Linked DNA regions of Caenorhabditis elegans. The protein of the gene in region 2 purifies or fractionates together with the protein of the main gene of each other region. This does not show direct contact. Each region holds a gene or a part of one and is shown on either strand. Other genes may lie near its edges. The genes, in order: F07F6.7 and fbxa-101.

Region 1 (3,551 bases), on a different chromosome or scaffold from region 2:
TATTTTCAGGTTTCCTTGTGTGGACTAGATGGTCTTACCTGGTCACCAGTCGCCATTCCATCATTTGATAATATTCGCGAGGTTGTTAAAAAATGGGGACAAATGGAAAATTCGACGCTTCACGCCATGGCTTGTGGATTTCAAGGCTCTATTAACATGATCAATCTGTTCTGTGGAAAATGTGCGTTTTTTCTTTTGAAAATTCCCCTCATAATAATTTTTACAGCGATTCTTGCTGACCGTCTTCAACGTAAAGGTGTCTGTGAATACTTGCCACGCAGTCAGCAGCCACACTATGCATACTCCCGCGAGACTCTTCTTCAGCACAATAATTCTGGAGTGGTGAGATTTGATGATTTAAAGGGATTTTCAGTTTTAATTTGGCTTTATTTTCAGACTGCTCAAATTTCGAACGATGCTGATGTCGTCAAAGATCTACTCAAGAAGATTGATGGAGTGAAGAACATGCTCCGTGAGCTCGAGCTGTAAATCTGTCCCATTTTTTTTGTCGAAATTACATTGAATCTATGATGTTGTCAAAAAAATGAACATTTTAATTCAGTGTCAGATTTTATAAGAACAACAACAAGAAAAATAACAACGAGAAAACAACAAAAAGAAAAGAAAATCAACAAGAAAAAAATCAAGAAACTTTGAAAAGTGAAAACTAATCGCTGTTCCAGGCGTCGTAATTCAAGAAGTTGGTTACAACATTGTGTCGCATCCTTTCCATCTTGCCGGAAGCTTCACGAATTTTTCCTGCCAATTCAGAGGAAGATCCGTTTTTAAGCGTCTGAAATGAAATTAATATTATATTTTGATAACATTGTTCGCGGTTACATTAGCGCTCATGGCCAGGGTAACACCGTCCAGAACGATTCCGATGGCTGCAACGCTCTGCAGCATTCCTTTCATAAGTGCATTCGTGAGATGGCCCTAAAAACGAAGGTAAAAATTTAAATTTCAAAAAAACAACTATTCTACCATGGAAGATGCGGCCATTTTAATTCCGAATCCTGTGATTCCGGCGAGAGAAACACCAAAAAGTGTTTTCAAATGAGACTGGACATCGTCGAAGTTTTTGAAAATCTTTGACGATTGCTTGTCCTCCACAAATCTCCTCACTTCGTTCAACAAATCATTTCTCGAATGAAGAAGTTCCTCAAAAAACTTCGCATCCTCCGCGAGCATTCGATTGATTTCTCTGATTTTATGATCGGTAGCAAGCTTCTTGTTCACTCCAGTTGCGACATTTGAGACGCCGGAAGCTGCTCCAACGATGAGACCAGCAATTGCAACTGGTGGCATGAAGAATAGTCCTCCGAAAACTGCAAGTCCAGATGCAATATCAACGGAACTTCCGACAGTTGTTGCGATGGCTGAAGCCTTCTCCAATCCGTCAAGCTGAAATTTAGAAAATAAATAGAAAAACTATGTTTTATCGACCTACATCTTTAGCAATCTCCTCCATTCGGTTCATGATCTCTTGTCGGTTTGAGCTCCAACGATCGAGGTGCCATTGAGCTCCCCAGGCTTTAACCTGGAGTTCCTTTGGCATTTCTTCGCCATTCTGAACAAGAAATATAAATTATAAAAAATGAATTTGAATAAAAATCTTACCATCAACGTGCTTTTCAAAGATTCATAGATTGACATATCGCTTTGCAGTTTGTAGATAAGTCTCTGAATCAGTTAATTTAGAATTTGAAATAGTGAATAATTTAATAAGAAAACAAGAATTTAAATGAAGACAAGTTACAGTACAATAAAAAATAATTCCTTAAAAACACGGATTCGTTTTTGATTTTTATTCTGAGCAATGAGGTGTCTTTTCAAGACCACCTGGAATATTGAACATCTGAGCCTTTAAATTAGTACTGTAGAGTATACTGTAGCTCGCATTCTTTCTGGATTTTAATCGATATTTACCATTTTCGGGTTTCCGTTATTTTCACAATGCCCACACTTGAAGTGCCGAATTTATTTTATTTATTCGCATGAAACTTTCGCAAAATAACAACAAAACAGTAGTGAAACCCAGAAAAATTCAAAATCCCGATATTAATGTTGTACAGATGATTCTTGTTGATGTGGATCCATTATCAGTGACTGATTTGGAGATTCTGGCTGCACCATTTCAATAGAACCAACATCGGAGAGGACGTCATCATCGTCTTTCCAGACGTCTTCATTCAAAAAGTGTTTTACCACTTTTTGGCGCATCATTTCCATTTTGGAAGATGCTTCTAAAATAGAAGATCCAAGTTCCGACACGGATCCTTCTCCAAGAGTCTGAAATTTGTATATTTTATTTTGAAAATTTCAAATTAATTGTTGTACCTTGGCGCTCAACGCCAATGTGACACTGTCTAGAACGATTCCAATTACAGCTACACTGTGAAGAACTCCTTTGACAAGAGAAGAGGAGAGGCGACCCTGGAAAATAAATAATATTGATGAAAAAAATAATAAAAAGAGCTTACCATCGAAGTAATTGCAAATCTAGTTCCAATTCCAGTTATTCCAGTAACTGATCCACCGAACACAGTTTTCAGCTTATTTTCAATGTCCCCGTCGTTTTTGAAATGTTTAAAGAATTCCTCATCTTCAACAATTTTCCGAACAGCTTCCATAAGTTCTTCTCTTGATTTCAGAAGTTCTTCAAAAAGTACACCGTCTTCTGCAATCATTGCAGCTACTTCTTTGTGCTGCCCTTTTGTATGAAAAAATTTCGTGATGCCTGTCGCCAAATTGGAAACTCCTGAAGCTGTTCCAACGATGAGACCAGCAATTGCAACTGGTGGCATCAAGATAAGTCCTCCAATAACTGCAATTCCAGATGCAATACCAACGGTACTTCCGACAGCTGTTGAAATTGCACATCCTTTCTCCCAATTATCCAGCTGAAATTAAAAATTTTAAAATTCATTTTGATTAAAATCTCGCATTAAAGTACATACCTTCTCAGCAATTCCTTCCATTTGTCTGACAATTTTTCTTCGATTATTGCTCCATTTGTCCAATAAAAACTGTGTACGCAATGCTGTTTCACTCAATTCTTTTGACATTGACCTTGGAATCTAAATTCATTAATAATTATATTACGAAGACGGGAATTTTTTGTGGAAAGATGCGGTACCCGGTCTCGATACGACAATTTTTGTTAAATACAACCGGATGTGCGCCTTTAAAGAGTACAGTAGGTTCGAAGTATAGTGGCTTGGAATTTTCATCGACTTTTCATAGTTTTCTCGCAATTTTTTGAAAATGTTTGTGTTTTCATTGTTTTAGTTTATTGAAAACAATTTTTTTAGGGAAAAAAACAATGAAAAGTCGAGTAAAAATCCGCAGCAGCAAAAGTTTGAAATTACAGTACTCTTTAAAGGCGCACACCCGCTGGAATTTTACAAAATACCCAGTACCGTATTATTGAAACTTTAAAAAAAATCTTACAAATAGCAAGCTTTCCAATGAATCGTAAATTGGAACTCCGTTGTCTTCCGACTGAGAACCTGCGTCGTCGTGATCATCTTTGATCTGCATCTTGTCTG
Region 2 (3,953 bases):
TATACCTCATAGTTTCAATTTTCAAACACTTAAAAAATTTCCAAAACAAAATATTTTTTTTCAAATTTTGAAACTCTCTCAAAACTTGAATAATATGATTATATAGTAGCGGGAATCAATAATTTACAGCGAAAAACATGTATTTGTATTATTATTAATAGTATCCAAATAGCCAATGACTGGAGCAATGAGCCCCCATGGTGCATCGAAGGGATGTGTAAATAGCTGCAAAAATGACATATTTTGCGGTCCAGATCATTGTTATAGAACTCGTTACACGTTTTGGGCTTGTAATAAAATTAAAATTTGAATTTTGAAAAAACACTTTGGGAAATTTTTTTTTTGTGAAAAAATTTAAAATTTCTAAAAACGTTTTTAAAAAATTAATTTACAATTTTTGCTAGTATATTCTTCACTTTCAGCTAAAATTTCTAGAAGAAAGGTTCAAAATATGACAAATTTGTAGCTTAGAGCAGGAATAAATTCATTTTTCTTTTCAAAAATATATAATTTATTTAAGCACTTGATTTTTTTTTTTTTTTTAATTTTTTTTTTTAAATTTTTTCACTAAAACGACTAAAAACATGAACTTTCCATAAATAATTTTCAAAAAAAAGTCAAGTTTCGCTTTCGGTTGATTTATTTTCTTTACCGGAAGCGACGTTTTTTCAATGTACTTTCTTGGCTTAGGCTTATAAAATGTCTAGTTTGTAGTCTATTAGCCTTCCAGTGTTGATCAAAGAAAAATGACAAAAGCAAATTCATGAGAACGAGATGAACAACAATAAATTAAACAACAATTTTTGAAAAACCAAAAAACAAAAATTAAAATTAAATAATCAGCCGAGTTTCTTCTCAATTTTCACTCGCTCTTCAGTGACTTCAATGACATATTCAAATCCATTTGCCTTGTAATTGATGGTTCCGGTTTTGCCAGCGAAGGTAGGATCAAACTCTTGGAGCATTTCTTCTGCAATTGATTCACTATCATCTAATTGCTTGCTGACGACACAAGTTTCCAGCTTTGTAGACGAATTTACCAACTGAAAGAATTTTAATTAAATCAACTAAAAATTGATTATTGCTATACCTCTTTCAGATCATTTGGCGATACCTCTGGACTGGTGAATTCAATACTTGAAAATCCAAGAAGATCCGACACAGTAAATCCAAAGACGGAGCAAATGTTAAGATCAGTTCGCAATTGTTTTGCATTTTTAAACTGTTCCAAGCAAGTTAGTGGACGAATATCGTTGAAGATGCAACGCATAATCTCAAATTTCACAAGTGTTCCAGCATCGAAAGAACTGAGAATTAGCGCAGCTCGTGGTTTCTTGAATCCACTCAGAGAAACTGATTTCGCTCGGAAACAGTGAGCATCTCCAAACTCCATATCGATTGTTCTCAGGCTTGACCTCAACCGTTCATTGTGGACATAGTCTTCATATCCTCCAATTGAGTCGAAATCTAGACTGAACTTCTCAATCTGAGCTTTTGGAAGCTTCATGACATTGAACAATTTTCTGAGAGCAAACTGTAGTCCTTTATTGTAGATGGTTCTTCTTTCATCATCAGCCACGACCGGATGGAAAGGTTCATTGCGAGCGTTGCTTATTTCATCATAAGGCACAAATCTATACCGATAACGAAATGATTTTCCATTGAGAACAATGGTGTACCTATGGCCCTCAATAAAAATATCAATGTCCAAATCCAGTTTCAAGGTGTCGATGAAGCTTCGAAGATTTCCATTGGAATTGCGAACGGAAATCCTGAAAATATTTTTATTATACTTTCTAAAAATATAATTTTTATTTATTTGATCTTACCAATCGTATGGATGCAGTTTCTTCACAATTTTCTTCATAATATTCAGAGGCAAGTCAAAAAGCGTCGGCGAGCTTGTCTTCGATCTGAAAATGTGTTTTAAAAAAGTTATTTGAAATTATTGTAGCCTAAATAACTAACAATTTCATGGAATTCTGCTTGTCCGTCGTTTCACCAATTTCTGCTCTTTGGCTAGTCATGTCGACGAATTACCTGAAAAAAATTAATTTGAGTAAATATAGAAAATCACGTTCAATGTGTAAAAACGAAATTAATTTTTACAAAAACAGGTTATTTTACTTATTTTAAATCATTTTCAGGGGAAAAATCACAAAAAATTGGTTAGAAAAACGCATAAACCACATTTGAAAATTCAAAAAAAAATTTAGAATTTTTGTGCGTCAAATGAGATGCCCGGTACGCATACTGCGTACTCTGAGAGTTACCGTAGTTTGGAAAAGGATCTTTGTTAACTATTCGAGAATTCCTTTTAAAATATAGAAAAACTGGGAAGATTACAAAATATTAAACGGAAGGTAACATTCAGCCGTAACCCAAATTATTGGTTTAATCAGTTTCAAAACAAAAAAAGTAACAAAATAAGAATTCATGTGACTAGTAAAACAAAAGCAAATTTTGAAAAATGAGAAGATTATTCGATTTTCTTCACAATTTTAGTTTCGAATTCAGTGACTTCAATGAGATATTCGAATCCATTTGCTTTGTAATTGATTGTTCCGTTATAGCCAACAAAGTTCGGATCGAACACTTTGAGCACTTCTTTTGACACCGTTAACACTCCACTATTGTCCTCATCATCGCTGTCTTCATCACTATCTTCATCGCTGTCATCCTCGCTGTCATACGTGTTCCTGCTGAGACAAGTTTCCAGCTTTGCAGACGAATCAACCAACTGAAAAAAAATCTAAAATTAATTAATCAATAATTAAGAATTTCTATACCACTTTCAAATCAGATGACAATACTACAGTTGTGAATTCGATATTTGAAAATGCGAACAGTTCAGCAACTCGAATTCCGGTGTAGCGATCAGTGGAAAGTCCAGTTTTCAGTTTTTTCGCATTCTTCCACTGCTCCGAAAGCGTCAGCTGCCAACTGAAGTAGAACTTGTAGGAATTAATGATTTCAATGTTCTCGAGAGTTCCAGACTTGAAAGATTTGAGAATGAGCACAGTTCGAGGTTCCTTTAGTCCACTCAGAGAAACTGATTTCGCTTGGAAACAGTGAAACTCTCCAAACTCCTTATCGATTGTTCTCAGGCTTGCACTCAACAGTTTATTTTTAAAACTAACTCTTCTGGAACCAATATCGTAGATATCTTCAAATTCGTCACTTCCTCTTCCCATAAAGTCAAAATCCAGTTTGAACTCTTCAATTTGGGCACTTGGAAGCTTCATAACCACGAACAATTTTCTGAGAGCAAACTGTAGTCTTTTATTGTAGATGGTTCTTCTTTCATCATCAGCCACGACCGGATGGAAAGGTCCGAAGGATTGATTTCCATTGATATCAATGGTGTGAAAAGTGCCCTCAATAGAAACATCAATGTCCAATTTGAGGTGCTGGCTGTCGACGAAATCTCGAAGATTTCGATTGGAATTGCGGACGGAAATCCTGAAACTCATTTGGTTTTTTTTTAACATTTGCCTAACATTCAAAATTTGATACCAATCGTATGGATCCACTTTCTTCATAACTTTCTCCATAACATCAACTGGCATGCTTAAAAGCGTAAGTGGTCTTTTCTTCGATCTGAAAATAAGCAAATTTTAAACTGAATCCGATGCAAATTTCATTTTAACACTAACAATTTAATCGATCCAGTTTCTTTGTCATTTCGACAATTCCACGAGATGAGCCAGTCATTTTGACAAATTACCTGAAAAATAGGAAATTTATTTGATTGATTCAGTTTTCAATCGTTTGAAGTGAAGAAAACAATAAGAAAATACGGATAAAGTGAAATATCTTTGTAAAATACGTTACCTAACGGTAAAATAACAAATTTTCCAGTAAATTTCGTGAAAACTGAAAATTTCTTTTCTGTCTAATAAATTTTCACAAATAAAAATCACAAAAACGACAGGAAAAATGCAAAAACTATG

Evidence for each region.
Region 1: the proteins of fbxa-101 (region 2) and F07F6.7 fractionate together in Caenorhabditis elegans (co-fractionation; one large-scale study listed by BioGRID). This does not show direct contact.

Annotation. Positions count from the first base shown.
Region 1 is NC_003280.10:5,422,176-5,425,726, forward strand, and holds F07F6.7 (Apolipoprotein L, 1), read right to left. Parts: upstream 1,684-3,551; 5' UTR 1,657-1,683; coding exon 1,621-1,656; intron 1,571-1,620; coding exon 1,451-1,570; intron 1,405-1,450; coding exon 985-1,404; intron 937-984; coding exon 841-936; intron 794-840; coding exon 668-793; 3' UTR 560-667; downstream 1-559. Other genes in the region: Embryonic developmental protein tofu-6, read left to right, coding at 10-181, 227-342, 397-489; F07F6.8 (Apolipoprotein L3-like), read right to left, coding at 2,062-2,292, 2,341-2,436, 2,484-2,903, 2,961-3,080, 3,454-3,543.
Region 2 is NC_003279.8:12,957,893-12,961,845, forward strand, and holds fbxa-101 (DUF38 domain-containing protein), read right to left. Parts: upstream 2,041-3,953; 5' UTR 2,028-2,040; coding exon 1,969-2,027; intron 1,914-1,968; coding exon 1,830-1,913; intron 1,773-1,829; coding exon 1,091-1,772; intron 1,044-1,090; coding exon 840-1,043; 3' UTR 748-839; downstream 1-747. Other genes in the region: F08A8.5 (Galactoside 2-alpha-L-fucosyltransferase), read right to left, coding at 1-10; fbxa-140 (F-box domain-containing protein), read right to left, coding at 2,480-2,740, 2,790-3,462, 3,517-3,569.